Macaca mulatta: one gene and its partners. The protein of the gene in region 1 interacts with the protein of each later gene in a pairwise test. Links are inferred from orthologs where the notes say so. Each region holds a gene or a part of one and is shown on either strand. Other genes may lie near its edges.

What was found.
Region 2: the proteins of MAGEA4 (region 1) and WBP2 interact in a two-hybrid assay, tested with the Homo sapiens proteins (2 studies listed by BioGRID). The two-hybrid records come from large-scale screens. The link is inferred for Macaca mulatta from reciprocal best matches to the Homo sapiens genes MAGEA4 and WBP2.
Region 3: the proteins of MAGEA4 (region 1) and UQCRB interact in binary tests that used the Homo sapiens proteins (3 or more experiments, as listed by UniProt). The two-hybrid records come from large-scale screens. The link is inferred for Macaca mulatta from reciprocal best matches to the Homo sapiens genes MAGEA4 and UQCRB.
Region 4: the proteins of MAGEA4 (region 1) and TRIM69 interact in binary tests that used the Homo sapiens proteins (3 or more experiments, as listed by UniProt). The two-hybrid records come from large-scale screens. The link is inferred for Macaca mulatta from reciprocal best matches to the Homo sapiens genes MAGEA4 and TRIM69.
Region 5: the proteins of MAGEA4 (region 1) and UBXN6 interact in binary tests that used the Homo sapiens proteins (3 or more experiments, as listed by UniProt). The two-hybrid records come from large-scale screens. The link is inferred for Macaca mulatta from reciprocal best matches to the Homo sapiens genes MAGEA4 and UBXN6.

The regions. Positions count from the first base shown.
Region 1 is NC_133426.1:158,171,167-158,176,703, reverse strand, and holds the end of MAGEA4 (melanoma-associated antigen 4), read right to left. Parts: intron 2,639-5,537; 5' UTR 2,566-2,638; intron 2,491-2,565; 5' UTR 2,426-2,490; coding exon 1,472-2,425; 3' UTR 1,321-1,471; downstream 1-1,320. UniProt on the Homo sapiens protein: Regulates cell proliferation through the inhibition of cell cycle arrest at the G1 phase. Also negatively regulates p53-mediated apoptosis.
Region 2 is NC_133421.1:85,564,508-85,571,143, reverse strand, and holds the start of WBP2 (WW domain-binding protein 2), read left to right. Parts: upstream 1-2,629; 5' UTR 2,630-2,678; coding exon 2,679-2,737; intron 2,738-2,954; exon of another isoform or gene 2,955-3,307; coding exon of another isoform or gene 3,308-3,333; intron 3,334-6,276; coding exon 6,277-6,385; intron 6,386-6,636. UniProt on the Homo sapiens protein: Acts as a transcriptional coactivator of estrogen and progesterone receptors (ESR1 and PGR) upon hormone activation. In presence of estrogen, binds to ESR1-responsive promoters. Synergizes with YAP1 to enhance PGR activity.
Region 3 is NC_133413.1:106,634,818-106,641,222, forward strand, and holds the start of UQCRB (cytochrome b-c1 complex subunit 7), read right to left. Parts: upstream 3,882-6,405; 5' UTR 3,875-3,881; coding exon 3,856-3,874; intron 1,182-3,855; coding exon 1,110-1,181; intron 1-1,109. UniProt on the Homo sapiens protein: Component of the ubiquinol-cytochrome c oxidoreductase, a multisubunit transmembrane complex that is part of the mitochondrial electron transport chain which drives oxidative phosphorylation.
Region 4 is NC_133412.1:22,145,216-22,151,809, forward strand, and holds the start of TRIM69 (E3 ubiquitin-protein ligase TRIM69), read left to right. Parts: upstream 1-2,230; 5' UTR 2,231-3,472; coding exon 3,473-3,478; intron 3,479-6,594.
Region 5 is NC_133424.1:5,284,565-5,290,482, forward strand, and holds part of UBXN6 (UBX domain-containing protein 6), read right to left. Parts: intron 3,286-5,918; coding exon 3,122-3,285; intron 2,707-3,121; coding exon 2,642-2,706; intron 1,680-2,641; coding exon 1,551-1,679; coding exon of another isoform or gene 1,476-1,550; intron 1-1,475. UniProt on the Homo sapiens protein: May negatively regulate the ATPase activity of VCP, an ATP-driven segregase that associates with different cofactors to control a wide variety of cellular processes.

The DNA of each region.
Region 1 (5,537 bases):
CTGGGATTTTGTTGTCATTGTTCTTCAAGACTGATCAGAGAATATCCAACTCAATAGGGCATGGAATCATTAGCCAAATAAGGAAGTTTCATCCATAAAATTCAGTAAGAATTATCACTTAGAGAATGTGCCTCAAAATTTGGGTGTGTGGGAGATTTCCCCAGCCAGATGCAGCTCAAAGCTCCTAGAATTTGAGTCAAAGACCAACTGCTTCCCTCGCTCCCAGCTGCTTTTCCATCCATACCACTATTTTCATTGTTACCACCCAAAATCTAGCCCCTGCTTACAATTGGTCACATTGCACTTAAGATAACCTAGTTAGAATGCCTTTTTAATAGTCAGTTCTGGTTCTCCCAGCCAGGTAGAAAAGCACCTGGCCAGTGGCTTCTGGGTCTCCCTTTTGGGGAGACACAAGTTTATCTCACAGGAAACCCTTGCAAATAATGGGTGCCCATCACCTAGCTCATGCACTGTGTTCACAAGACACCTTCCATTCCCGCCCCAGGTAGAGGCTTCTCTGTTCATCCACTGTCAAAAAGGAACTGCTCAGAGCACTTTTCCAATCTGGGCTTTTCCCTCTCCCTCTGAGGATCTGGCCCTTGACCCACCAGGCTTCATTACAATCAGATCCCTCAGAAGAAAATGCAGTTTCCCAAAGCCCAAAAGGCCCCACACAGGGAATTTACACTCGACCACTCTCACCTGGAGCCCCATACCCACACTCCTCTTACTTTTCCTCTACATCTTAGAGGACATCTTGCCACCTTAATTATATGACTGCAGCTCCTAGATTCTAATACCCTATGGGTAGGTGTGTGTCTGGCTTACCCTAGTATCTCCACTACTAATCCTGGGTCTTCCACAGAGCAGATGCTCAGTGCATAGAGAAGAAATGAGCCAGTGAACACAGATAATTATTTATTCAGATTTAATTTTTCTTACATTCACGAAGAAGCCAAGGAAATCCAAGTATGCGTATATATTTTTTAAATTTTACAGAGTAGACTGAGTATGTATAAGGCAGGAATTAAGTATTTTTTAATTTCTTTATCTCACATATCTTACGGTGAATTCACATTTCTAAATAAATACTTACTCCACTGCTGTTATTATGTCCCAATTTACAAAATAGAATGGATTTCCCAATCTGAATAAAAAACAAGACTCTTACACCTAAACTATATAAACAGCAATATATGTGACTACGACTCATAAACTTGGATGCTGAAGTTCATTCAACCATCCATTAAAAGGAACATTTGAACAATTCTAAAAGGAAACAGAGATAAATCTCCAAGTCACCCAATAAAACAGAAACTCACTACTAAGAATGCTGACTACTCTCTTCAAACAGTGAAGAATGGGCCTCATGCTACACAAGGCAGGGGAAGCTGCTGCACAGGGCAGATGACTGGCCCAGCCCAGCCGCCACCCCCCCACCCCCGCCCCAGGCCCTGGCTGCAACTCATGCTCAGACTCCCTCTTCCTCCTCTCTCAAAGCTGCTTCACGAAGGGATGGGTAGGAAATGCGAACTCTTGCATTGACCCTGACCACATGCTCCAGGACCTTCACATAGCTGGTTTCAGCCAGGGCCCTTGGACCCCACAGGAACTCGTAGCGTGCAGGATCACTGCCGGGTACCTTCCGGTACTCCAGGTAGTTCTCCTGCACCCACTCTTGGGTGAGCAGTTTCCTGGGCTCCCCATAGACACTGTGCTCCCTCCCATCATACACATCCATCACACTCAGCTCCTCCCAGATTTCCTCCTCAGATGCAGAGTCGCCCTCCATTGCGATAGTGCCCAGGACGATTATCAAGAGGCCTGTCTTGGGAAAGATATGATTACCACCCAGCAGGCCATCGTAGGAGAGGCCCAGGCAGGTGACAAGGGTGTAGGTGTTGCTGGTGGGGTCCACTTCCTTCACATCAATGCCAAAGATCATCTTCAGGGACTCAGAGGCTTTGCCGAAGATCACAGGAAAGCAGTGCTTGTAATTTTTGATGACTCTCTCCAGCATTTCTGCCTTTGTGACCAGCTCCTTGGCTCGATACTTGAGGAGCAGAAAATGAACCAACTCATCCACCTTCTTACTGAGTGCTTCTCGGAACAAGGACTCTGGGTCAGGAGAGGTGCTTGGCCCCTCCTCTTCTTGGCTGCTGGAACCCTCATTGGGTTGCCTCCAGCAAGTGAAGTTGACGGTAGAGGGTAAGGCGGAGGCTCCCTGAGGACTCTGGGGAGGACCTGTTGACCCAGCAGCAGGCACTTCCTCCAGGGTGCCAGGGACCAGAGGAGAGGAGGAGGAGGCAGCAGCCTCCTTCTCCTCAGTAGCAGGAGCCTGCGCACCCACTAGGCCCAGGGCCTCTTCTTGGGCCTCAACGCCTTCCTCAGGCTTGCAGTGCTGACTCTTCTGCTCAAGAGACATGATGACTCTGGTCAGGGCAGCAGGTGGGAGTGTAGGCAAAAGCTGGGCAGTGGGGACCCACAGGCCTGGGGAGAGAGGGAGCATGTGAGAGGCCTCAGCTGAGAACCGAATCTTGGAGGCTCTAACAAAGGCTTACTTACAGATCTTCTCCTTGGTGCTCCTCTGTGATCTCCAAGGAATCCTGTCCTCCGGGTTGGCCTATCCCCTGAGAACCTAAAGGAGGAAGTGAGAGAGCACCTCAGGGTATAGCCGGCCAGCAGAGGTCGATTCTGCAGGACTAACAGGAGGTGAGGTCAGACTCTCTGAAGTTCCACGTGTCCTATGCCAAGTGGGGCCCTTGGTGTGCATTCAGGGCAAACATTCACTGCTGGCACAGCCTGTGCACCCTCTGCTCTGTGACTTGAGGACACAAGTCTCAGACCAAGGCCTCATTGCCTTGTTCCTGGAGCTCCTAGGAGATGAATCCATGGGCCCTTAGGGTGCCGACTATAAGCACAGCCCCAGTCCCTCAGTGCTATCAAGAGGGCAGGCTGGACTCTGTGAGGTCCCCACTCTCATAGAGTGGATGGTCCACTCTGTGGTCACTCAGGGCCCTCACATTTCTCCAGGCAGGGCCTGGATTCCACCGTTTTGCTGGCCTGAGAAATTCAGATCAAGCACTCACATGCCTGAGAGGAAACAGGACATGAGGGGCCCCACATCTGGCCACATGTGCCTAGGTCCTCTGAAGAATGACAGCAAGAGATGTCAAAATTCATTGGAACCCATGTGTCCTGGGTGAGGAGCCTGCTTGGTCCTCACCTCAACTCCTGGCAGAGCCTGGGACCTTCCCTCTACTGACCTGGGTGCAGCCCCTCAGACCAAGGCCTCCCCCTCCGTGACATCAGTGATCCCAGGACAAGAGAGGGACCTCAGCAGACAGCCAAGCCCATGCTCTCTGGGGTGACAACCGGAGCAAGGCTGATTTCTGTGGAGTCATCGTCTGCGTTCTGGCCCTGTGGTACCCTCAATCTTCCCTCACATTCCTCACCAGGACTCTTGGCAGATCCTGGGACCACTGTGTCTGTTGACCAGATAGAGGTCTGTGTTGACCTGAGTAACCCTCTGAGAACAAGGTCCTAACCTCACTGAGATCTGCAATCAGAAATGAGGAGCCACATCCTGTCACCCCTGTGCGGGGAGTCCACAGCTGACCCCTTTGGTCCTGGGGTGAGGGTTCTGATGGCCTCCTGTGGGTCACTCATGTTTGCTCCCAACGGGGCCTGCCCTTCCTCAACCCCCAACCCCCTGAGATGAGCAGATATTGCCCCTTTACTCCAAGACCTCATCTTCCTGAAGGTTCTCCAACTTCCTGCCTATGGTACAAGTAAGATTGGCACATAAGGCCATCCCTGCTCTGGTCCCCCCGAGCTAAGAACAGGGGACAGCCAGACTCTGCGGGGTCCCGTCTTTCTGAGCCACAGGTATCCTCAGACCATAGCCCTCTCCTCTCTGTGACCTTGAAGGTGCAGGAAGCATGAGCTACATGTGGCTACCTTGCTCAGGACCTCCCAGGGCCCAGGTCTCCACTGATCTGGAATGCAAGGACCCCTGAGTCCTCCCTCGTCTTCCTTTCCTTGATCCTGGAAGGGCTGGAACCCACCCCTCTGCTGACCTGAGTCACCATCCCTTGGATTCCCGAGGCTAAAAGAGGAGGCACCTCATTCTCAGACGGGGTGGGGTGGGCTCCCTGCCTTGGGATGCTGGGTCTCCTGAGTCCTTCCTCGTCTCCCAGGAGAGCCAGGGTCCTCCCTCTGCTACCCTGAGGCTCTGCTCATGATACCAAGTCCCTTCCCTCCTTCAGCCCTGGATGTGGATATCAAGATCCGAGTGCCTGATCATTCCCAGGTCTTCCGTCGGTTGACTGCAGGGGAAAAAATGGATTCTGCAAAACGGAATTGGGGATGGGGTTGAGGATCTGGATGGTGGGGGGATGCTGGAATGTGGAAGGGGTGGGAATGTAGGTCCCTCAATTCCCTCTCAGGGTCCTGATTCTGATGCCAGGCAGAGCCTGGGCCCTGCCTTGGGCACACCAAGCTGTGACTCGAGTCCCCTGTGGCTTTAGTGGCAGTGGGAGCTGGGACGGCCTAGCCTGAGTCTTCCCCCGGGTGGTCCAGGGCTGGCAGGAGGGGCTGAGCTCGATTGTTTGGGGTCCTCTATCTGGAGTGGGGGCCTCCTCATTCCTTCATCAGAGTCTCACCTTGCCTCGTCACAGAGCTTGGGCCTGCTCTCCTCAGTCAATCTCAATTATCCCCTCAGGACCATGCCCTCGATTCTCTCTGACCCCCAAAACGTCCCAGCACCAAGTCTGGGGTTTCCCTGGATTGATAGCAGAAGGGGAACTGGATTCTGCCTGGTGAGGTTGGAGGGCAAGGAATGGGAAATGGGGCAGCGAAGTGGTAGCGGATTTGTGGGAATGGGGGTTAGAGTGGGATCTTGGGGGACCTCAGTTCCCTCTCAGGTTTCTGACTTTGATTCCTGGCAGATCCTGGGCCATGCCCTCTCCTAACCAGCCCTGCCCTGATCACACCAACCTCTGACTCCAGAGTCTCCTGTGGCTTAAACAAACGGGTTGCAACAGGGGCGGTGGTGGGGAGCAGCCCAGCCTGAGAAGTCGGCCTCCTGGGTGGTCCAGGGCTGGCAGTAGGGATGGTGCTGGATTAATTGGGGCCCTCTATCGGGGGGGGGGGCCCTTCTGAGACCTCCCTCAGCCTCTCACCTTGCCTCCTCAGAGCCTGGGCTCACTTCTCTCTGCTGATGTCAAGCTCCCCCTAAGGAGAACCTCGCTTCTCTCTAACTCCCAATGAGCAAGTCAGTGGCGTCACATTCGGGTACCAGGGACTTTCCTGGATTGACAGCAGGGGCTGAACTGTATTCTGCCAGGGTGGGGGTTCCGGTGGGAGGGGTGTGGGTGGAAAGGCAGAGCGGAAGGAGATCTGGGTTGAGGTATAGGGGTGGTAGATAGGGGTGGGAATGGCAATGAAGTGGGGGTTGGGTCATGAGAGTGGGGATTGCAGTGGACTCTTGGAGGCCCTCAGCCCTCCCTGAGATTCCTGACCTTGATGCCTGGCAG
Region 2 (6,636 bases), on another chromosome or scaffold:
TTTCTTAGCACATCACTAAGATGTGCTCTGGTGTGGAGAATACGAGCAATCACACTGCAGTGAAAAAGAGAGCTGGAGACAGGCAGACAGGGGTAAAAGACCAGAGGAGAGGTCTGAGTACTGAGACCTAGGCCTGGGGGGCCTGCAGCTGCTCACCTGGTTCCGCAATAAACGATTGTTAAATCCTTCGGTTTGAGTTTTGAGTTCTGGTACCTTCCAGCCCCAAAGTCATGGGAGCTGTCCAAGAAGTGTGTTCACATGGTCATATGTTTTTATAAAACTTAGAACTTCTGGACATTGTAGCCGAAGCTGGTCAAGCTCGTTATCTCTCCACTGCAACTTCCTCTTCTTGTCATTTCCCCTCCTGTCAGGAGGCCTCATTGTGGCCACAGTATTGTGAATGAATAATCGTGGGGTTTTTTGTTTGTTTCTGAGATAGAGTTTTGTTCTTGTTGCCCAGGCTGGAGTGCAGTGGCTTGATCTCAGCTCACTGCAACCTCCGTCTCCGGGGTTCAAGTGATTCTCCTGCCTCAGCCTCCTGAGTAGCTGGGATTACAGGTGACCACCATCACACCCAGCTAATTTTTTGTATTTTTAGTAGAGATGGGGTTTCACCATGTTGCCCAGGCTGGTCTCAAACTCCTGACCTCAGGTGATCCACCCGCCTTGGCCTCCCAAAGTGCTGGAATGACAGGCATGTGCCACAAACTCTGACCTACTTTTGTTTTTTTAATTTATATTTTAAATGCACATAGAAAAAAAAAAAAAAACTAAACAGTACCAAAAAGTACAATGCATACCGACATACTGAGCCACCAATCCACCCCAAATTCCCAGACCCACGCCTCAAAACTGTCACAGACATTTTCTGGTGGATCTTTGCAAAAAATTTCTATCTAGATCCTATTTTTTAATACAAATAGAACTATATGTATACAGCATTCTGTGCTTAATAACCCTTGACAATCTTTCCATATCAGCACATAGTCTGACTTTTTTTTTTTTTTTTTTTTTTTGAGACGGAGTCTCACTCTGTTGCCTAGGCTGGAGTGCAGTGGCGCAATCCCGGATCACTGCAAGCTCCACCTCCTGGGTTCACGCCATTCTCCTGCCTCAGCCTCCCGAGTAGCTGGGACTACAGGCGCCCGCCACCACGCCCGTCTAATTTTTTGTATTTTTTAGTAGAGACGGGGTTTCACCGTGTTAGCCAGGATGGTCTCAATCTTCTGACCTCACCATCCACCCGCCTCGGCCTCCCAAAGTGCTGGGATTACAGGCGTGAGCCACCGCGCCCGGCCGACTTAATTCTTTTTAAAGACGGCAGAGATTGCAGACCCCAAAATACATCTAACCATTGGGGCAGATTTCATTACGACCATCCTTAATCCACTGTACTTGTCCTGCAAGGTCCAACCTGGTATTGCACCGGACCTCACAGAACGCTGCTGTTTCCTGATCTTTTCTAGTGAGGCAGCTTTATTTCTTCACATAGGAGACCTCCCTGCTAAGCGAAGTCGAACAGGTGGATCTAGAGGTTGACCACCACGGTCAGGAAAGCAGCTGTCTACTGAAAAGCAAACTCTAATTCCTTAAGATTAACGAGTTAATCTTTAAGATTAATTAATCTTAACGAATTAATCCTTAAGATTAACCCCTGCACCACCAAGTGGGGGAGTACAGCCCCCTCTCTCCGCCTCATGGATTCAGCTCGGAGGTGCAGGGGTTTGGTGGGGGGCGGTTAGGGAATGACAGCTGCCCCGTGGAGGACGCCCAGGGCTGGGTCACGAGCTGGCATGAGTCAGTCTTATTTTGTAAGTCCTAGTTATCAGGCTGCCAGTCTCGCGCCGTGCCCAGTCTCACTCAGCCTTCAGTCTTCCGGCCGGGACCCCGCTGGGCGCTCCGGAGGGATCGGCGCCACCGCGAGGCCGGCGAGGAGGCTGCAAGGGGCGCCCGGCCGGCCTGCGAAAGTGGTGGGAGCCAGGAGGGGCACACAGCCTCCCCTCCCCAGGCGGGACTCTCCCCGCCCCCCGGGCTCAGGGCTTGGGGTGGTGAGATGGGTGGCTGGGTGATCCGACGCCGCCAGCCCACCGCGTCCCCAAGAGCCGGGGTCTCGGGCTCAGCTAAACTCCCCGGAGTCACACAAGCGCCCCATACACGTCTGCTGAGTGAACGAAGGCTGCCCATCCACCAGGGGACTGCTCGGCCCTCCCACGCCATGTCCAGGTCGCATTCGGCCAGCGGGACTTCCCTTAACGCTCGGCCGGGGTCCCCAGGCTCGCGCCCCTGACAGCAGCCAAACTGTTTATTTCCGTCCGGCTGAAGAGGCGGGGTGGAGATGGCACAAGCCGATTGGTTATGTAAATTGTGGAGCCAATTTCGGCCTATGAGCCAGGAGACTACAAGTTCCAGAATGCATCCTTCCTCCAGCACAGGGAGAGGCCGAGGCTGCGGGAGCGTTGCCTGCTGGGAATTGTAGTCTTCATCTTGTTTGTTACGCAGGTGGAACTGGGGGGAGGGAGTAAACTATTACCACGTGACGTTCGGGTCAGGTGGTTGGGCCAGCCTCCGCGCTCGAGCTGTGACTGGCTGACTCTAATAAGAAGACGCCACTAGGGGCGGGGCGAAGAGGGGCGCAAGCTCACTGCGTTTTGAGTCTCGGGACCCCTGTCGGAGAGACTATGGCGCTCAACAAGAATCACTCGGAGGGCGGCGGAGTGATCGTCAACAACACCGAGAGGTGAAAACACTGCGGAAGGATCCTAGAGGACCAAAGTTCGGGTGTCGAGGGAGTGGGGGGTGGGCGATGGGCGGTGGGGAATAAGCCCCTGAAGGGGGAGCATTGATGGAGTATGGTTGGGGGGGAATGGCTGGGGGCGGGGTTGGAGGAAGGTGGGTGGGCCGTGGGGGAGGGCCCGGGAGGTTGTGATCAGCTGGGAGGTGGGAGTGGGACGTCTGCTTGGGGACCTGGCATGGGGCGACCGGTGGGGCCTAGGGGTGATTCTTGAACCCGTTCCCAGAGTTTTGACTTCAGTAACTGGGAGGAGCCCCAAACAAAAATAATTGTCACTTATTGGATGTCTACAACGTTACTACGTGTCAGGCTCTGCGCCTTTTCTACCTTATTTAATAAATTCTGTGCAGTACAATCTACTACTGTCCACGTTTCACAGGTAGGGAAAGTGGGGGGCAGAAAGGTTAAGTAACTTGCTCGAGATTGCAACTCTGTAAGTAACAGAGATGGAATTCCAGGAAAGGAGTCTTGACTCCAAAGTTAATAGGATTAACCACCAGCATACAGGCTTCCAGTATGTTCCAGAACTGTTCAGGTTCCAGGTAAGAAACTGAGGTCCCAGGAGTGAAATTAAACAGATGACGTTTGTCAGATGTCTCACAGTTCCTGGCACTGTGTGGATCCGTAAAGTCATTCCCTTGCCTCTCTCTTGAATGCCTGTTGGTTTGAGTCTCCTCCGAAGGCACAGGTCTCCTAATTCAAGGTTCTTTCCACTCCACCCTCCCCACCCCTTGCTCATTGCATCCTGTCTCTCCTCCAGTCTCTGCCAAGAGAAGCCCTGAATGGCCTCTCTCTCCTTTTGTTCCGTGGGTATTGAAAATCAGACCAGCCAGCTCTGGGTTGAACTATGCCGACCCTGAATTGCCTCTTGAAGGCAGAAGGAGCTTAGGAGGCACCTGAGTCCCCAAAGGAGACATTGTGGAGTCAGAGCCCTGTACCCAGCTAAGGCCAGCATCCAGTTGCCCTGTGACTTGGGAATGTTATGATGAGTCAGAGGAAAATGCCTAGAGTGACCCAGCAGGCTCACTTTCCCTCTATCTTACCTACTCAGAGTCTGATGGGTAATTCCTTCTTTTCTCTGAGTGGTACTTCTCTTTTTTTTTTGAGATGGAGGCTTGCTCTGTCACCCAGGCTGGAGTGCAGTGGCACGATCTCAGTTCACTGCAGTTCACGATCTCAGTTCACTCAGTTCACCGCCTCCTGGGTTCAAGCAATTATCCTGCCTCAGCCTCCCCGGTAACTGGGATTACAGGCACTTGCCACTACACCCAGCTAATTTTTTGTATTTTTACTAGAAACAGGAGTTCACCATGTTGGCCAGGCTGGTCTCGAACTCCTGACCTCGTGATCCGCCCTCCTTGGCCTCCAAAAGTATTGGGATTACAGGAATGAGTCACCGTGCCCGACCACTTCTCTTTTCTTAGACCAGTTGTTTCCCACTTACCTTTCCCCAGTCTGAGAAAGTTGTGATATCTGGGGGGAGGCAGAAGACAAACAGAACCGTGTGAACCTTTTTATCATGTGATCAGAGACACCTCACATTGTCTTGTTGCATCTCTGTGTGTGAGTCAGTTCCCAGGCCTGGCCAGCTTTTCATGCCATTTGGCAACATCTCTGGGGACTGTTTTTCTTTCTGTCTCTGTGGAACTTCCTGAGACAAGAATGTATCTATCCTGCTGGGCCTTCTACCTGGCTTAGGGCTCAGGCCTGCTAAGTAAGGTGTGCCTTGTTTTAGAAAGTGCTTCAGCCTCCTGTCTGAATAAGTTGTGTCTGTAACAATTGAAGTATAAGTCCAGTGTTCAAAATTTGATAATTAGGCTGAGCATGGTGGCTCATGCCTGTAATCCTAGCACTTTGGGTGGCCGAGGTAGGTAGATCACTTGAGGTCAGGAGTTTGAAACCCACCTGACCAACATGGTGAAACCCCGTCTCTACTAAATACAAAAAATCAGCCGGGCGTGGTGACGCATGCCTGTAACCCCAGCTATGTGGGAGGCTGAGGCAGGAGAATTGCTTGAACCCAGGAGGTAGAGGTTGCAGTAAGCCGAGATCATGCCGCAGCACTCCAGCCTGGGCAACAAGAGTGAAACTCCGTCTCATAAAAAAGAAAAAAAAAATGATAATTAAACTAGTGAACGTTACTCTTCAAGTCCTGAACTCCTTTGAGAATGATGGAAGCTGTGGACTCTCCGCTCAGAAAAATGCACATATGACGTACATGATCATCTCAAGGGCTTCATGGACTTTCCTGCAAACCCAGCTGAAGAACCCAGGTTTGAAAGAACCTTGAAGGAGGTCCTATTGTGATCTGTACAGTCATCTCTTAGATATGTTTATATGTTAGGGTTGAAAAACAAACCAGCAAAAACAGAGCATCTGTCAAAAGGACTTAAAAGAGAATAGAAAAGTTAAGCCAGATCACCTCACCTACTTGAGGGATGGCGGCCTCTCTAGAGCCCTGTAACTCTGCTACCACGTTGATCATTTGGGGGCTGTGTAAGCGGGGTTTGGGAAATTTTACAGAACCCCAACGTGCTCGTTTCTTCCATGGCTGCATTAATGGGGTTTTTTCTTGGTGGTGGTGGTGGTTTTTAGTTTTTTTGTAGAGACGGGGTCTCGCCACGTTACCCAGGCTGGTCTCAAACTCCTGGGCTCAAGCGATCCACCAGCCTCAGCCTCCCAAAGTGCTTGGATTACAGGTGTGGGCCACCGCTCCTAGCCCTATGAATGGCTTTATTAATTTATTTGTTTTTGAGACAGAGCTTCTCTCTCTCTCTCTTTTTTTTTTGAGATGGAGTTTCGCTCTTGTTGCCCAGGCTGGAGTGCAATGGCACGATCTCGGCTCACCGCAACCTCTGCCTCCCGGGTTCAAGCGATTCTCCTGCCTCGGCCTCCCTAATAGCTGGGATTACAGACGCCCACCACCACGCCCAGCTAATTTTGTACTTTTTTAGTAGAGACAGGGTTTCTCCATGTTGGTCAGGCTGGTCTTGAACTCCTGACCTCAGGTGATCCGCCCGCTTCAGCCTCTCAAAGTGCTGGGATTACAGGCATGAGCCACCGTGCCCGGCTGGAGCTTCTCTCTTGTTGCCCAGGCTGGAGTGCAATGGTGCCATCTTGGCTCACTGCAACTTCCGCCTCCTGGGTTCAAGCAATTCTCCCTCCTCAGCCTCCTGAGTAGCTGGGATTATGGGGGCCCGCCACGACTAATGTTTTGGTATTTTTAGTAGAGATGGGGTTTCACCGTGTTGGCCAGGCTGTTCTCAAACTCTTGACCTTGTGATCCACCTGCCTCGGCCTCCCAAAGTGCTGGGATACAGGTGTGAGCCACCGTGCCCGGCCCTATGAATGGTTTTAATGCAGTACTGTTGAGAGGTTATGAGAGCTGATGTGCCGGGCAGCTGCTTGGGAGAAAGGCCCAGTGTCTGGGTGACATCGCATCTCCATACTGTCTCATCAAGGCTTTTCCTCTTTTCTCATCACAGCATCCTAATGTCCTATGATCATGTGGAACTCACATTCAATGACATGAAGAACGTGCCAGAAGCCTTCAAAGGGACCAAGAAAGGCACCGTCTACCTTACCCCTTACCGGGTGAGTTGCCCAGCAGGACAGTTGGTTGAGAGGCTTGTTGCTGTTGGAGGTGACGTGAGTCTTAGTCTCGGGTCCGCCTCAGCCTCATGAGTCAAGTGGCCTCTGAACCCTGGTGAATGTTAGTGCCTCACTCTGCCTGTTTCTCCGTCACATGCTCCTGGATTCCAGAACCACCAGGCTCTTTGTGTAACTGACCTGACCACTGGGCAGTGAACCCATGTAAATTCCAGAGCCGCTGCTGCAAAACCTCT
Region 3 (6,405 bases), on another chromosome or scaffold:
AAATTAGTAAAATATCTTTATGACTTATAACTTACAACTTTTGGTGAACTATCGAATTCAAATCACTAGGTTCAATGGAAATTCAATGCACTTCATACATTAGGTTGGTGCAAAAGTAATTGCGGTTTTGCCATTAAAAGTAATGAGTTATTACTTGACATAATGGGTTATTTCTTGAACTAGACTATGGAAACAATATATGAGCCTCTTAAAATCCAATGCCACAAAATTCATATTTTATCTAAACCATTTACAAAATATTTTAAATGTTTACTTTGTTTTTAAACACACATTAATAAACCACATCTCTACTTTCTCATAGTTTAAATCTGAGATCAAGGTATTAATGAATCTTAAAATAATAGTATACTAAGGAACCAGTGACTTTTGCTTACACTTTCTTCAAGCTTCAATAGCAAAAGATGAAGTTCATGGCAAATTACAAAGTTCTAAAAAAGCTTAGGAAACATATGATCGCATGGATATGATAAAATTTTAATATTTGAAAAATCTCTACTTTCAGTGTTTATAAAACTTAAAATTTTAAGTGGAATGCTGGGCGCACTGGCGCATACCTGTAATCCCAGCACTTTGGAAGGCAGAGGCAGGTGGATCACCTGAGGTCAGGAGCTCGCCACCAGCCTAACATGGTGAAACCCTGTCTCTACTACATACAAAAAAAATTAGCCAGGCATGGTGGCACACGCCTGTAATCCCACCTACTCAGGAGGCTGAGGCAGGAGAATCACTTGAGCCCGGGAGGCGGAGGTTGCAGTGAACTGAGATTGCGCCACTGCACTCCAGCCTGGTGACAGAGCAAGACTCTGTCCCAAATAAATAAATAAAATTTTAAGTGGTAGAGTTGGGAGAAGGGGTGTAGAAGGAAAATGTCTTACTACTTAAATCATTACCAAGTCAAACATTTTAGAGGCTTTCATCCCTCTCCTCTCAAAAAAATTTTAAAAAGGAACTGGATTTAACATAATGTGATTTAATTTTAACATCTTCTGATGTATACAAGAACTGAAATATTTTTTGGAACCACAGTAACACTTGTAAAAGCAATACTCTCAGAAAAAAAAGAAAAATTAAAAAGCACAGATGCTTACCCAGTTTATTGAATCCTGCAGCATTGTAATACCATTTTCGAATACCATCCAGCCACTTGCCTGATGCTGAAACTGATCATTGTCACACTGTTAGTTGCTACAATTATACTATATGAACACACTGATGGGCAAGCAACCAGTACTCAGTTATCTTGCTGATGAATGCAAACATAGAAAGAAATTTCCTTTTAAAAGTATATACTATATACAGCAAGAATTTAATCAAAAAAGAATTAGATTTAAAAGAAAAAAGTTTATAAACTGTTGATAAAAATTGCTTATTTTATTTATGAGCAAAAGTGGCTGCAGGAAAATGGTGGCAAGTCATGGAAGAAGAGGGTAAACTCAAACATTGAATGTACAAAAGATCCATAGGTACATCGTGTGCCCTTATGCCTGCCCTGTTACCTTCAGAAATGAAGGGGTGAGAGATAGGAAAAGGACTTGGAAATTTCTATCATTTGTAGTTTCATAAATAGATCACAGGAAATAATTGTAAACTTTTCATTTCAAAGGAGCTGGAGTTGTATGAAAAGAGAGTGAGATTTCAGCATAGGCTGGCAGGTCTAAATGACCCTCATCCTGTAAAAATTTTACTCGACATTACAGTTATTTCATTTGGCTACATTCTTTAAAAATATATGTATTTTGGGGAGGATTTTGATACCATTAGTCATTTAAACATTAATATGGATTAGTAAAAGAAGTCCATTTACCTCCTCCTAAGCAACTAAGTTCCCCCCAAGGGAATAGGTATTGAAAACGGATGAGAAATGGGTAATTTTAAAATTCTTGCCGGGCGCGGTGGCTCAAGCCTGTAATCCCAGCACTTTGGGAGGCCGAGACGGGCGGATCACGAGTTCAGGAGATCGAGACCATCCTGGCTAACACAGTGAAACCCTGTCTCTACTAAAATACAAAAAAAATTAGCCGGGCGAGGTGGCGGGCGCCTGTAGTCCCAGCTACTCGGGAGGCTGAGGCAGGAGAATGGCGTGAACCCGGGAGGCGGGGCTTGCAGTGAGCTGAGATCCGGCCACTGCACTCCAGCCTGGGGGACAGAGCCAGACTCCGTCTCAAAAACAAACAAACAAACAAAAAAAAAAAATAAATAAATAAAATTCTTTGGGGAACAGGGCTGAGTCTGATGAAGTAACCCAGCAGGGTCCAAGTACAGCAGGACCGTACCTGACATTTTAGGAGAGACGTTTTACAAAAGGGGAGGTAGAACAAGTTTACATTTTCTTTTAAAATTTTGTCTAGCGTTAGCCCCTTACCAAGGAAGGAAAGCAAACTCTCCTTTCACTCAGCCCTCCTTGCCTGCAAACTCAGTGCACTACAGATTACGTGGCTTCAGCACATCTCCTTGGAAATGAAGTCATGTATAAAACTGCTGCCAGAAAAACAAGTATCAGTCAACAATCTACAAACATACTTGTGGAAGACAGATTATTTTTAACCACCTATCAGTGACTAGAATAATATTCACTAAACACTTATTGTGCACCAAACACTTTCCTATTTGCTTTACCAACATTAGCTGATTTATTTACATGCCTCTTACTACAGCAAGGGAAGCAGACTTACAGAAGTGATCCCACCCAAGGTCAGTTAGCTAATGGGAGTTGAGATCTGGTCTATGTAGATCCCAAACACGCACAGAATCAGTGTCTTGAATTTAGTAAGACTCCTTCAATATCTGCTAAATTAATAAAATAATTATTTAAAAAGTCTCCCCCACCCCCAAAAAGCTCAATGTCAATTAGGTTAGCGGATGTTTCTGGCAACCTGATGTTTCCTAACAGCTTCACAATTGCTGGGGTCAGGGAGAAAAGGATCAATATTTTTTAAAAGCTACTCCAACTTGGTTGCATTGCAGTGAGACGAGATTGTGCCACTGCACTCCAGCCTGGGCGACAAAGCAAGACTCCTTCTCAAAAGAAAAAAAAAAAAAAAAAAAAAAAAGATACTCCAACTTGTACCGCCAGAGGGCAGAGATTAGCAAAAAAAAAAACAAAACAAAAAAACAAGGAAACCCAACTTAATGTTCAAGTTGTTTTAAATATTCCAGTAATATCTGCATTCTATTCCACAATAAATTTGTTTGAACCTACAATAAATTCAAATTTCTCCAAACCTACTGATCAAGCTGACGTTCTAGATAATCCAAGGTTAATGTGAAGCGTCGCTCGTATCCCTTGCTAGACTGTCTCTGATTCACAGTTTGAGAAGCGCGAGGGGTGCAATGAAATTTCCAATTCTACTTCCTTGGGTCACTTTGCCTCAGTTGTCTTATCAGCGTAAACGGGAAATTAATATCTCCCTCGTGGCACTGGCAGGAGAATTTATAGGGCCAATGCACACGATAGAGCACCTGGGTCATAGAAGAAAGCACTGAGCTCATTCTGGTTGAAAGTCATCCACTAGTTATCTTCTTGTGACCTTTAACTTTTCTAAGGCCGAGGGGAAGGACTTCCGAGCACAGGCAGCTGGAACTCCAGGGCTGTTAGAGCCACCGCGGGCACCTTCACAAACAGCGGGTTAACACCCCAACCCTATATAGGCAAGCCCGGCCTGGGAACAACAAACGAGTGGGGAAGCACGTCCTTTTGGCTGGACTGAAGCCGCCACTTTCCCTTCCGCGACAAACTTGGTGACTTACAAAGAAGAGAGAAAACGGAGTGAGCTGCAGCGAAAATAAACGGTGGAGCGCGACGATGCCCGCCAAGAAGACTCCCCAGTCACTTACCCGCCTGCTTGCCAGCCATTTTGACCAGAAAATGAAACGTTGCCTTCTGGGTAAGTCATAGAGGACACGCTGGGCCCAGTCCGCAGGCGCGTTACGCCACATCGCGAACCGAGAAACGCCGCTTGCGCAGGCGCAGTTCTGACGGCTGTCGTTGAGCTCTTGCGTGTGCACTTCTCGGCCAGGGTGAGGCCAATGGAGTAGGCGGGGCGTTTTGCGTGCTACATTCCAAGAAGTATTGGTTGTGATGTGATGGGAAGAACACAGGTCAGGAATTAGGAGACCGAGGCTTAAAGCTGGGTTCTGTTACTTGCTGTTAATAGCTATGAGAGCGTGGGCAGTATGAATTCAGCTCTTTGTGCCAGGCAGGAAGCTAAATGTTTTAAGGGCATCGTTTTATTTTCTATTGAAGGACTGATGGATGCGCCATCCCAAAAATATATGGAATTGGTACACTGATTATTTGGAGTTGAAAATGTTGGAGAAATTGTAGTTTCAGAAAGGGTTTGATGACCCATCTCTTCCTGCATGCAGCAAGCCGTAAAGTTTCCTCCAGGATTCCTCCGGAGTACCCGTCCCTTACCAGAGGGAGAAAATAGCACCCATCACCAGAGACTGGAAACTGGGAGCTGCTTTGGACCTGAATATACTTTCCGAAATAACCCTTATCTTCCACTAAGTTTACACCCCACCACACCCACGTTTCTCCTAATGACTCCGCAAGAAATTCACTGCCCCTAGCCAGATCCCCTTTCTTCTGATTTGTAGTTCGTGTAAAAAGTATAAAGGCATCTTACATTGGCCACTTCACTCTCTTGTGAGGATCCCCATGCACATGTAAAACATGTAAAACTAGTAAAATTAGTATGCTTTTCTCTTGTTAATCTGCCTTGTGTCAATTTGGTTCCTAGATCCAACCAAAGAGCCCACATAAGAGCAAAGGCGTGATCTCTCACTCCCCTACACTGTCATTTAATTCTAAAAGTACTGTCATTATCTCATTGTAGATAGGAGAAAGCTGAAGCTCAGAAAGGTTGAATAACTTGTCCAAGAGGACATGACTAGAAGAGTCCAGGTTCTTCTTCCAGAATCTGAAAATCCAGACGCAAACTTAGGGCTCCTTAATTCTAGGGCCATATGCTACACTACTAATCCAGGAAAGACACCAAGCCTTTCAGGCCTTGGGTTTCTCCAGCTGAAGATCTACATCTAGCTATTTTAGTGGAAGGTTAGGTCAGAAAGGTTTTGGGTTTTTCGTTTGGTTGGTTGGTTGGTTTTTTTTTTTTTTTTTTTTTTTGGTCACCTCTTTTTTTGTTGTTCAGCCTCTATCACCCAGGCTGAATGGCACAATCTTGGCTCACTGCAACTTCTGCCTCCAGGGTTCAAACGATTCGTGCCTCAGCCTCCTGAGTAGCTGAGACTACAGGTGTACATGCCACCATGCTCGCTAATTTTTGTATTTTTAGTAGAGACAGGGTTTCACCGTGTTGGCCAGGCTGGTATCAAACTCTTGACCTCAAGTGATGCACCCACGTCGGCCTCCCAAAATACTGGATTACAGGTGTGAGCCATCACGCCCAGAAGAAAAGGTTTTTAAAGATTAAATCTAAGATGTATTGCAGAATTTGCACATAATTTAAAGACAAAAGTATATAGATTTGCTAACTATTAAGGTCTCAGCCCCAACATGTGAAGTCTTAGGCATAAACATCTAGAGACAGAAAACAATTGGGGGGAACTGGCATGACTGATAGTTACTGGTGAACTTCTACCATTACTCGGTGATATCTTTTTTCCCCTCAGTTTTAAGCTCAGAGCTGGGACAATATAGAATAGAACCTTGTCTCGTCGTAAGTTCAAAAGGTTAGATTTAATGATCTTAGTCACATTCCAGTTCTAAGATTCTATTGATTTTCCTTTTTCTTTTATCTCCATGCTGCTACAATTCTTCTATTAGTCAGTCCTGTATGCAGCACTAAAGCTGATGAATGATCTCTTCTATCTTACACTAGCCAAAGTGAAGTCTGAAAGATGTGAAGAAATGCAATACATATGTACATTGGCACATTGCCCTGCAGAGGGTAGGTACTCAATAAACTCTCCTCCCTTCTACCCTTTACGTTTTACTTGCTGGTTACAGGTGAAGGTGACAAGAAAAGACATATCAAAAAATCAGAAACCCAAAATTGTCACAAAATCCAGCTCCTAAGGAATTAAGCTAGAGACTGAATGTTTGCTGGTAGTCATTAATGTTGATTCAAAAACTAATTTTGGTTTTCTTTCCTCCCAGCACAGGATTAGGGATTGCCTTTCTCTGCCCTCAAAGTTAGGCATGGCCATGTGATACTTTAGCCAAGAAAAATGTGATAACTCTTTAAGAGCAATTCTTCACATTCCTTTCCTTTTCCATAGACTGGTAACACTCCAGAAATGATGGAGACAGGATACATCAACCTGTATCACTAAAGATGATGTGGAGCAGAGCCTTTGTGGTCCTAAGAGACATGTATAAGATAAAAACCTTTTGTGGTTTTTCAATCATTTGAGGTTTTA
Region 4 (6,594 bases), on another chromosome or scaffold:
TCACTGTGTTAGCCAGGATGGTCTCGATCTCCTGACCTTGTGATCCACCTGCCTTGGCCTCCCAAAGTGCTGGGATTACAGGGGTTAGCCACCGTGCCCAGCCACTTTCTCTTGATAAGAAGACCACTGACTATGGGCTGGCTCTGGCCAGTTTACAGAGGCTAAGCACTCTTGTTCCTTCCTGTCCTGAACAGGCATTTTGACTTATAGGGCCTAATTGTCATGCATTTAAATGTTAAGTCTCCACCTTAGGCCTGGCACGGTGGCTCATGCCTGTAATCCCAGCACTTTGGGAGGCTGAGGTGGGTGAATCACTTGAGGTCAGGAGTTCGAGACCAGCCTGACCAACATGGCAAAACCCCGTCTCTACTAAAAATACAAAAATTAGCCAAGTGTGGTGGTGCACGCCTGTAATCCCAGCTACTCGGGAGGCTGAGGAAGGAGAATCATTTGAACCTGGGAGGCAGAGGTTGCAGTGAGCTGAGATGGCACCACTGCACTCCAGCTTGGGTGCAGAGCAAGACTGTCATGAAAAACAAAACAAAAAAAGAGTTAAGTCTGTACCTCAAAGTGAACATGGGTTGTATGTTACATGCATGTTTGTTCAATAAGCATGAGTCAGGATGACCTTCATGATTATTCATGACTCCTCCTGTAACCTGTTGAATATGTACGTTTAGCCAACCTGTTCAGCATCAAGTTCCTACCCCAACCCCTCCTCCTTTGAAGTGCCCGTCTCTAGTCTTTGCCAGAGATTGTACTTCCTGGCCTGTGGGATGGCCACCTTGCAGGCCTTTAACCCTTTATAAGAAATAAAGTCTCCTCTCCAAATTTCTGGATGTTGTGAGTTCTAAGTTAACAAAGTAAAGAGAAGGAATTTGGGAGACTGACAACTTTGCAAACCAGAGCCACGATAGAAGTTTGAACTTTTACTTAAGAGAGAAATAAATGTCATTCTTGCTTAAGCAACTTTTATAGTGGGTATATTAGTCGGGTTGACATATAAAATTAACCATCACTCTGGGTCTCGTTTACAGTAATAGAATTTTTTTATTTTTTTTATTTTTTGAGACAAGGTCTTACTCTGTTAACCATGCTGGAGTGCAGGGGTGTGATCATGGCTTACTGCAGCCTTGACCTCCTAGGCACAAATGATCCTCCCACTTCAGCCTCCTGAGTAGCTGGGACCACAGACACTGGCTAATTTTTAAATTTTTTGTAGGGACAGGGTCTTGCCATCTTGCCCAGACTGGTCTTGAACTCCTGGGCTCAGGTGATCCTCCCACCTTGGCCTCCCAAAGTGCTGAGATTACAGGCGTGAGCCATCATGCCTGGACACTGTTTTTAAATAGTGAAAAAAAGGACTTGAAGTACTATTTGTGAAGATTGAGACCTCTTGCTACATAGGATTTGGAATCACAGGCTTCTAGAGATGGAAGAGGTCTTAGGAATTCACATTTTAAAGAAGGAGGAACTGATACCCATAGGAGTTAAATGTCTTAGCTAAGGCTACCCAGTGCTCTGGTGAGGGACAAGGTTTCCACCTTCTAGGCCAGTACTCTTACCCCTAGGCAAAAGGTTCAAGAATGTGCAGGCGCCAAGCTTTAGTAAAATCAGCTATACTAAGCATTGTCAAATGTTTTAGCCAACAGCAAAAATAATCAAGATGAAACAAAATTACTTTTTTGATTAAGTGATCACCAGCATTTCATAGACATTTATTTGACAAAGGTTTTGATCCAACAAATGCCATGTACTGTCAAGGTGAGCAAGACAGAGTACTACCTACCCTGCGGTTGTTCACAACTTAGTGGAGGGGCAGACATGCAATCAAATATTAGAATACACTCTGTTAAAGCCACATGTACAAAGATCTAGAGTGCTATAGAAATGTGTAAAGCTAGGCCAGGCATGGTGTTGCTCACACCTGTAATCCTAGCACTTTGGGAGGCTGAGGTGGGAAGACAGTTTGAGCTCAGGAATTTGAGATAAGCCTGGGCAACATAGTGAGACCCTGTCAGAAAGAAAGAAGGGGAGAAAGAGAGAGAAAGAGAGAGAGAGAAAGAGGAGACAGAGAGAAAGAAAGGAAGAAAGATAGGAAGAGAGAAAGAAAAAAGAAAAAACAAAGAAAGGAAAGAGAAAAAGAAAGAAAAAAGGAAGAAAGAAAGGAAGAGAGAAAGAAAAAAGAGAATGGGAGAGAAAGAGAAAGAAAAAAAGAAAGGAAGAAAGAGAAAAAGGAAGGAAGGAAGGAAGGAAAGAAGGAAGGAAGGAAGGAAAGCTGTGTTTCTCAACTGAGGAATGATTCCAACCCTGACCCCAGGAGACATTTGGCAATGTCTGGAGACATTTTTGTTATGACTGGAGAGGAAGGGGGTGGCTACAGGCAACTAGTGTGTAAACGCCAGGGATACGGCTAAATATCCTAAAATTCACAGGACAGCCCCTCTGACTTAAAAGACTTAACAGGCCCAAAATATCAATAGGGCTGAGGTTGCTAACCTCTGGTATAGAGCCAGCAAAATATCTTCTAGAAGAGACAGGGAAGTGGGTAAAGCTTGGTTTGGGGATGAGGGAGTGGTTAGGGAAGAGTTTAGTAAAGAGATAAAGACGGGGGTGTAGGGGAAGGGAAACTCCCAGCCGAAGGGATAACATGTACAAAGCTGCAGAAGAGTGGCAATCCCAAACATCCGGGAAAGAGCTGTGGTCATTAAGGCTGGACTGCTAGGCAGGAGCCAGACGTGTAAGAAATCATATTGAGTTAGAGGAATTACTGTAAGAAAAACTGTTTGGCTCTATGGTGGCTCTTTATAAGTCACGCAGGAGCATAGTGCTGGGACATCTCTCTGTGGGCGAAAACTGCTGAAGAAAGCTGTATGAAAGAAAGCTCATCCTGCTTTCTTAGGGCCTGGTGTTTTCCAGGCCTGTGTTACTGTCTCAGAGACAAAGTCAGGGCTGCTTCACTGGAATATGAGAGGTGAACTAGCTCTCTATTAAAGCCACTCAGCGAGTGTCTTGATGGTGTGATGGGATCACGAACAGGGGTGAGGTGGTTATTTTCATGAGTTAGGCTTAATATAGGCTGCTGCTGACGTGTATTTCCTCTTTCATAGAGCATCCCTAGTCCAGAAATGGGGAGCTATGAACCTTAAGATTAGACTACCAGTTTGAATCTAAATGAGCTGCCCTCTTCTCCTACAAAAGAAAAGTTGGGCAGGTAGGGTATTGTAATGAGGGTTTCTCTTTCTCTTAAGCAAATGATGATCAAAGCAACTGACAAACTGTCACGGAATCTGCCAGACCTCACTCTGGCCTTGCTGCTTCTCTCCAGCTCCTGAACTTTTCTTCCTTTTGTCATGCTCTGAGCCCATTCCTTGAAAACTAACAGGTCCCTGACTTCTGGTCTGCAGACATCCTGGGCCTGCTGAGCTCTGATTCAAGTGCCTGCCTCTGCCCCTTGGTAGGCTGAAGCTTCATGGAGGTGAGTGATCCTTTTTTTACTTAGCAGGGCTTCTAGGAATAGTGTGGAAAACAGGATCATAGAAGAGGATATGGATTTGGGAGCACAAAAGGAAATTAATGAAGAGAAGTATTTAACTTGTGACAGCTGGTAGCTACTATACTCTCTCCAGGCCTTGGAATAACTGATAATTTAGACTAGAGAAGCTGGTAGGAAACTAATGAAATCCATCAAAACATTTTGAGAAAAATTAAATCACATACTATACAAAATTTGCCTTCATTATCAATGTAATCATTTTGTTTTAGATTTAAAAATTATTATGTATAACTTGGATTTCTTACAATACCTTCACATTTGATTATTTTGTATTTAAGGCAGAGTCGATACTCAGATAGTAAACATTTTTAATTGAATTCCTTCCTTTAAGACCTCTTCAGAGCTAAAACAAAGGAAGTTATATTCTTCTCAACTTAGTGTTTTCCTGATTGTTAGACAGACAAAAGAAAATGCTTATTTACTACATGAAAGCTTGAAAAACTCACTAAAATTCATCGACAAGAGATGTTGACACAGGGGCCCTTGAATCCTGAGTTATTATCCATTTCCACCAGTTTCCACTTCTTATAAAGTTTAATTTCATTATATTAATCATTAAGATCAGTTTCTAATTTCCTCTATCATAGGACCTTTAGGTTTGCTGTTACTCATCTCTGTCCTCAGCTATTGAAGCAAACAGGGCGATAAGCATTTTGTTTATAATTTCTAGGGGAAAAATAAACACTATTGCCTATACCTACTATATTCTTATTACTTTAAGGCCAAGTCAGTGAAAATAGACACTTTTCCATAATAGTAAAAAAAACCTGTTTGTGTGATAGTGAGCTTCCCATTACTTCAGACGTTCAGGCAGAGGTTGGAAAGGAGTGAATTAAATGGCTTAAAATTTCTTTCAACTCTGAGAAGCTCCGAGAAGTCGGAAAGTTCAGAATCTTTCCTTCTGATGTGAAAATGGCATGACTTGTGAAGCAGGAGTGTGTCTTGCTCTTAGGTTTGGGCTGGCTGTGCCATATCGTTTGTCTCTGTGGAGGAATTGTATTTTTTTGCTCTCAAAGTTAATTATTCATAAAATCTGCCCATCAAAGTTTAAAAATTACTTTGAAGGAATAAAGGTTGAAAAGCAAATGAACTCTCCTTAGATATCTTAACCATGATTTCAAAAGTTTACAACACAAAACTTCTCAGGAAAAAAATGTCTCTGGTAGAAATTAAGGATTTCTTATGCAAGCTTCCAAAGACTTCATAGCTCTAATCTTTGCCTTTTCTCTGCTCTTTGAGAATATACACAGTGAACCAAAGGAGGAAGAGATGTTCTTTCTTTGTTTTTTTTTTTAAAGACAGAGTCTCACTCTGTTGCCCAGGCTAGAGTGCAGTGGCACCATCTCAACTCACTGCAACCTCCGCCTCCAGGGTTCAAGTGATTCTCATGCCTCAGCCTCCCGAATAGCTGGGACTACAGGGGTACACCACCACTCCTGGCTAATTTTTTTTTTTTTTTTTTTTTTTTAGTAGCGATAGGGTCTCACCATGTTACCCAGGCTTGTCTTGAACTCCTGACCTCAGGTGATCCTCCTGCCTCGGCCTCCCACAGTGCTAAGATTACAGGCCTGGGCCATTGCGCCCTGCTGATGTGCTTTCTTATAAAGTGATTCCTGCCAGCTGCGGCTTTATAAGGATGAATATCAATTCCTGACTCGAGTTTCTCTCTCTCCGCCTTAAGGTTAGACTTCCCCTAAAAGGGGCTGGCAGTAGATGTGCTTCCTAAAAGATTTCCAGGTCCAGAAATTTTAGAATCTCCTTTGGTTTCCAATTCTATGTCTCCCTCTAGCGCAATAGGAAGTTATTGCAGATATTTTGCCTCACAAATTTGATCCATTTAATAAATTCAATTCCACAAAACATATTGATGGGCTTCCTGCTGACTCAATGGTTAATAGGCTTTGGGGTCAAATAAAGAGTTCAAATCTGGGACTCACTACTTAATAATTGTGACTCTGGCAAGATACTTTAAACAATCTAAGCTTCAGTTTCCTTAAATATGTGGTAATAATACCTATCTCATAGGTTGTTCTGAGATTAAATGAAATGATGTATGTAAAGCCTCTTCCACAGTGAGTGCTCAGCAAATATTAGCTAATATAATTAATCTCTTGTTTTACAGAAAAGGATATATTATTGAAAGCCAGGGCAATTGGCACACCTTCAGCTAGCAAGATGAATTAACCATATAAAAAATCAATCAATCATATAATATCAACAATTAATAACATGAAATATATTTTCATATCATAAAATTAACCCTTTTGAAGTTTACAATTCAGTGGTTTTAGTATATTCACAAAGTTGTACAATTATCACCCCTATCTAATTCCAGAACATTTTCATTACCCCCAAAAGAAATTCCATACCCATTATCAGTCACTTCCCATTCCTCTTTGCCCCGCTTTGGTAACCACTATATAATTTAAATATACTTTAAAAACGCATTGAATAAAATTCCTGAGTGATATCCACCTTCAAAAGACACTACATTCACTAGGATTACAAACTGATGCTGGTATGTATTCCTTCTCCTAGATTACCTTCAAGTGGCCAGATTCTTCTATACGTTTTATCTTATTCAGAATGTATCTCTTTTTAAAGTTTTTGAGACAGCTCTGACTGGCTTAAAATGCAGTCTTTTTTTGAACTTGTGTATTTCCTGATAGGCATATTTTTCTGGGTTTGGTCTTCTTTTTCATTTATAAAAATAGAGACAGGATCTCACTATGTTTCCCAGGTTGGTCTCAAACTCCTGGCCTCAAGCAATCCTCCTGACTCAGCCTCCCAAAGTGGTAGGATTATAGGTATGAGCCACCATACCCTGCCCTAGATTTGGTCTTCTAAGCACATATTGAGGAGGTGGAAAATAAATAGACATTTTTCTCTTCCCTTCCACAGAATTGCCCATTCAGCCTAGTACAAAGAATGAAGTCTTCTTCTTTTTAAAGCTTTTATTATCTTTTCGTTAATGTACTTTATTTTTTTTGAGACGGAGTCTCGCTCTATCCCCCAGGCTGGAGTGCAGTGGAAGCTGC
Region 5 (5,918 bases), on another chromosome or scaffold:
GTGATTATCCTGCCGCAGCCTCCCGAGTAGCTGGGATACAGGCGCCTGTCACCATGCCTGGCTAATTTTTGTATGTTTAGTAGATACGGGGTTTCACTATGTTGACCAGGCTGGTCTTGAACTTCTGACCTCAGGTGATCCACCCGCCTCGGCCTCCCAAAGTGCTGGGATTACAGGCGTGAGCCACCGCGCCTGGCCACTGTTATTACTTTTTGAGGCCGGGCGCGGTGGCTCAAGCCTGTAATCCCAGCACTTTGGGAGGCCGAGGCGGGCGGATCACAAGGTCAGGAGATCGAGACCACAGTGAAACCCCGTCTCTACTAAAAAATACAAAAAAAAATTAGCCGGGCGCGGTGGCGGGCGCCTGTAGTCCCAGCTACTCAGGAGGCTGAGGCAGGAGAATGGCGGGAACCCGGGAGGCGGAGCTTGCAGTGAGCTGAGATCGCGCCACTGCACTCCAGCCTGGGCAACAGCGTGAGACTCCGTCTCAAAAAAAAAAAAAAAAAAAAAAAAAAAACTTTTTGAGAAAGGGTCTCACATATCACCCAGGCTGGTGTGCAGTGGCCTGATCACGGCTCACTGCAGCCTCCACCTCCCAGGCTCAAGCAATCCTCCTACCTTGGCCTTCTGAGTAGCAAGGACTACAGGTACACAGCAGCATGCCCAACTAATTTGTTTCTGTTTTTGTTTTTGGTAGAGACAGGGTTTTGCCATGTTGCCCAGGCTAAAGCCGAGGTTTCTGAGAACCTATTGATGGTGTTAAGTGAGGACTTGCTGTATTAGGGGAAAAAAGATGCTGTGGAAGTTATTTTTGTTCTTTTGTTTGTTTGTTTTTTGTTTTTTGAGACCGAGTTTCGCTCTTGTTGCCCAGGCTGGAGTGCAATGGCACGATCTCAGCTCACCACAACCTCCGCCTCCCAGATTCAAGCAATTCTTTTGCCTCAGCCTCCCGAGTAGCTGGGATTGCAGGCATATGCCACCACACCCGGCTAATTTTGTCGGAAGTTCTTTCTGTACTGAAGCAAATAATACATAACCTTTTATGAAAAACAAAACCAGGCCAGGCACGGTGGATCACACCTGTTATCCCAGCACTTTGGGAGGCTGAGGCGGGTGGGTCACTTGAGGCAAAAGTTCGAGACCAGCATGGTCAACATGGTAAAACCCCATCTCTACTAAAAATACAAAAATTAGCTGGGCGTGGTGGCAGGCACCTGTAATCCCAGCTACTTGGGAGGCTGAGGCACGAGAATCGTTTGAATCCAGGAGGCAGAGGTTGTAGTGAGCCGAGAATGCACCACTGCACTCCAGCCTGGGTGACAGAGTGAGACTCCATCTCAAAAAGAAAGACAAACCTAGCTGGGAGAGAGGAGATACGGATGCATACACAATGGTGTGCCTGGATTCGGGGTATCAGAAGAGGGACTTCACTACCAGCAGTGGGCTCTGGGGACTCTGGGAGGGACCTGTACCACCTGGGCTTCCGATGGGGGGTGGCGCAGGCACAGGAAGCTACAGGTTGGGGCAGGAGCACACGGGGCGCCACTCACCGAAAGAATGGCTTCCTTGATGCGGGCGTCCCGCTGGTCCTTCCTCAGGGTGGCCCCAGTGAGCGGACAGGTGAAGTACACACCAGGCACGGCCAGGTGGGCAGAGCCTTCCTCTCTGGGCTCAGATACCTGGGGCGGTGAAAGTGTCCGAGTCTGGACTGTGGACAGAAGCCACCCCGAGCCTCGCCGAGCACCACAGTCCTGAGTGTGGCCCGCAGAACCAGACATCTCTAGCCCCCATGCTGTCCCTTCCACTTGGTGGCCATGGGAGACACCCTGGCCAAGTGACTGGATCCCTCAGCCTGTTCCCTGGTATGTCAAATGTCCCTGTGGGGCCTATTCAGAACTAAACAAGGTAAGGAAAGGAAAGCACGGAGCAGCTTCTGACACGCAGGAAGCACTCAGCAGACGGCAGCTGGGCTCCTGCTGGTCCTGTCCCCAAGCTGGTGAGGAAGGAGCTCTGTGTGGGAGTCCGTGGGCACAGTGCCCTGGACAAGGCCTGACTTTTGGGCCTCCGTTTCTAGGCCATCTCTAAGGTCCCTGCGTGCTAAAATTCACTGAATCCTCGAGGATCAAGCTGCTTAGAACTCCTTTCAGCAGAGCTCTCAAGGCCCACCTCCTACAGGAAGGCCTCCCTGATTCCACCCGTCTCCACGGAGCCCCTTGACCTCCAAGCCAGGCAGGAGCAGGCAGTGGTAGGGGACAGGCTCTGAAGCCACAGACTAGCCAGTCCTGTCTTTGCTGGTTCTGGGGGAATAGGAGAGAGGACAGCTGGTTTGACCTCTCTCAACCCCGGTTCTCTTTCTGAAAAGTGAGAACTGTAACTGCATCCACCTTAACGGGTTAAGGGGAAGGAGCGATGGGCTTATGTACCTGAGGCCCACTTCTCCAGGCCTGAGCCAGCATCCTCAGCTGCCGAGCCCCGAAGGTCCGGACAACACCATGTTCCACCACAACCCGCCTCCACCTTGCAGGGCAAGGTTTCCTAACCACCCTGGAGCCCCAAGGGCAGTGGCCACATCTCCCCCATGAAGAAGTCAAGCTGTCCCCACCCCTCAGCGTGGGACAGTGCCACCAGTGGCTGTTCTTACCACGTTGGTCCCTGGGGCCTCGGGGCTCCCGCTGACGGTGGCTTCGGCTTGAAGTTCCTTTCTCACTGGAAGGCAGCCCAAGAAGGAGAAGCAGAGCCAGGGTGGTGAGCACGCCTCTGTCCTGGCCCGAGCCCCCTCATTCCTGGGGTGGGCCCGTGAGCCATGCACAACACCCCAGCCTGCTGCTGCTGGAGGTCAGGCTGGAGGTCCCCTGCAGGACTCGCTCTGCACCCACCCCTCAGCCTGAGCCAGCACCCCACTGCCTGCGCAGTCCCTGTTTCTGCTCCAAGTCTCTGCTCCCACCCGCTCCCCAGGAAGCTGCCCTTCCCCCAGCACCTGCCCTTGGTGAGTCGCTCCCAAGGGTGACCCTCACACCCCCACAGCTGCTTCCAGGCCCTGGACTTCTGCGTCCAGGGCCAGGCACTAAGGCTGGGAACCTCAAACAGCCCCGACCTGGGCCCGGGGCGGGCCACATCTCACCCTGGTTTCGGATGCTGTCCTGCGACGTGGGGCCCCAGGCCCGGGACTGCTTCTGCTCCAGCCGGGCCAGGGCGGCAGCGGCCGCCATCTGTGCCTCATTGGTGGGTCCCTGGCGGGGCGGCCTCGGGGCCGGCTGGCTGGACTTCTGTTTGGGGGCCTTTTCCCTGGGGACAGACCGAGGGAGAGCGAGTGTATCCTCCTGAGGTGGCCGGCAAACCTGACGTGCGGTCACACAGGGGAGCTTCTGCTGCTCCCCAGCTCCTGCCACCAGCACCACCAGTCAGACGTGTCCCTGCCTATGCGGGCCAGGACGCCTGCTTCCCAGGGGCCACCCGCAGCCACCAGATGGTTCTTCTGCAAGCGGAAGAGCCCCTGGAGGAAGGAGATGCTGGTTCCGCTCAGTTCTGCACCACAGGGCAAGTCCTGCCCCACTGGGCCTCAGCATCCTCGTTTGTAAAATGGGGTGGCAGCACCCCTCCCGAGGCGAAGGCACCTTGATATCCTCAGGGCCTTTTTTTTTTTCTTTTTGAGACAGGGTCTTGCTCTGTCACCCATGCTGGAGTACAATGGCACGATCACGGCTCACTGCAACCCTGAGTTCCCAGGCTCAAGGAATCCTCCCGCCTCAGCCTCCCGAGTAGCTGGGACTTGGAGGCAAGCATCATCACGCATGGCTAATTTTTCTTTTTTTTTTTTTTGAGACGGAGTCTCGCTCTGTCGCCCAGGCTGGAGTGCAGTGGCCGCATCTCAGCTCACTGCAAGCTCCGCCTCCCGGGTCTACGCCATTCTCCTGCCTCAGCCTCCCGAGTAGCTGGGACTACAGGCGCCCACCACCTCACCCGGCTAGTTTTTTGTATTTTTTAGTAGAGACGGGGTTTCACCGTATTTAGCCAGGCTGGTCTCGATCTCCTGACCTTGTGATACGCCCGTCTCGGCCTCCCAAAGTGCTGGGATTACAGGCTTGAGCCACCGCGCCCGGCCACGCATGACTAATTTTTCTATCGAGACAGGGTCTCGCTGTGTAGCTCAGGCTGGTCTCGAACTCTTGGCCTCAAATGATCCTCCCACCAGGGCCTCCCAAACTGCTGGGACTACAGGCATGAGCCACAGCACCCAGCCCACATCCTCAGGAATTGAGGAGACTCAAGGGATGCCACATCCTCCCCCACTCCCTGCTGTGAGAGTCTCCACCCTCAGGTCACAGCTTCGTTTGCTGAGCACCTACTGTGTGCTGGGCCCCTGCTGGGAGCCGGTCGGCTTGGTTGGTTGACTCCTCCTAACAAGCTGCCAGGGAGGCCTCACCATCCCGTTCCCAAACCCAAGAGGGTCAGGAAGTCCGGGCAATGTGCCCCATGCCACACCACCCTTGTGGCAGGACCCTGGGGTCAGCGGACAGCAGAACCAGCCTCGCCCTGGCCACTCCATGCCAGGCCCGGGGCTGTGCAAGTACCAAGAGCTCATGGACTCGCGGTTCCGCCCTGTTGAGCCCTACACCAAGGAGGGTTCCATAATCCACTTGGCACAGTGGCCTGGCAGAGAAGCCCTTTCTGCCAACCTGCTCGGACGCGTCTGTCTCGCCTGTGTCCTCTCGGGCCCCTCCCGTGAATCCAGGGACTGTGTCACTTTCCATGTCGTAAGTCTCTTAAAACTTCCTGGAGGCCAGGCTCTCAGTTCAAGCCCTGTACTCCTCTGGCTCTGCTTAGATACTCGGGCAGCCCTCCCTCCTCGTCTCGAGGCTTAGCTTCGTGCCCACCCCTGCCTATCTAGTCCTCCCACAGCGCAGCATCTTGGGTGGAAGAGGAGATGACTCATGAAGACCCATCCCAGCCCCATCCGATATCTAGGTCTTTCCAACAAAATGGCATTTCCCAGGGCACCTCACCCCAACCGGTCATGGACCCTGCCCGCCCTGGGCAGCCACAGGGACCCTTCTGCAACCTCAGCCAGGGAGCGTCAGCATCACTCCACTGCACGACGCCCCCCCACCACGAAATCCTAAAGCCTCCCTCGGCCGGAGAGCCCTTCCCGGCCTGGCCCACTGCCCTCCCCTGGCCTGGCTCCCCTGGGCTCCCCGCGGTTCTTCCCATACCCCAGCTGCTCCCCGCCGCAAGGCCCTGCACTGTCTGCGCCTTCTGCCCACAGTGTTCTCCTGCGGGGAGGGAGGAGGACAGGGGATCTGGAAAGGGCTAGAGCTGCCACAGGGAGAGAAGGAGGGGGCTGATTTCCCCACGGCTGAGTCTCTCTGTGTCCTGGGAGAGGCCTTCCCAAACCACCTGATGGCGTCTGCTCACCCTCCTTCAAGGCCCTGGGCACCGCCTGAGCCCTCCTCTGAGGTCTGTTGGTTTATTTGTCCATCAGCTCCCTCTAGAAGTTGAGCCCTGGGACAGCAGAGGCCTTCTCCTGTCCACCACTGCAGCCTAAAACAGGACTTGGTGCCCACACGCCCCACACACCCTGGATATCCAGTCTCGCTCCAGAGGGGACCTCCGCACCACTTCCCTTCCCGAGTCTCCCCTCTGACCTTCCCCTCTCCGCCAGGCTCTGGGCTGACCCAGCCATCACCCTGATGCCCTGCATCCTTCCTGTCACGCCCAGTCCTAACCCCACCCACTACTGGTTGAATCAATGAAGGGCTCCCCCCATTTGTCCACTTCTCTCCCTGACCCCCCTCCCTCTCTCACTCAGCCTTTGCTCTCCTGCTCTCCCCTAGGAACCCTGAATTCCTCGCTATGCCCCTACCTCCATCACCACCCCACCAACCCGTGATTCCCTGACCCCCACTTCCTGCCACCTCCCT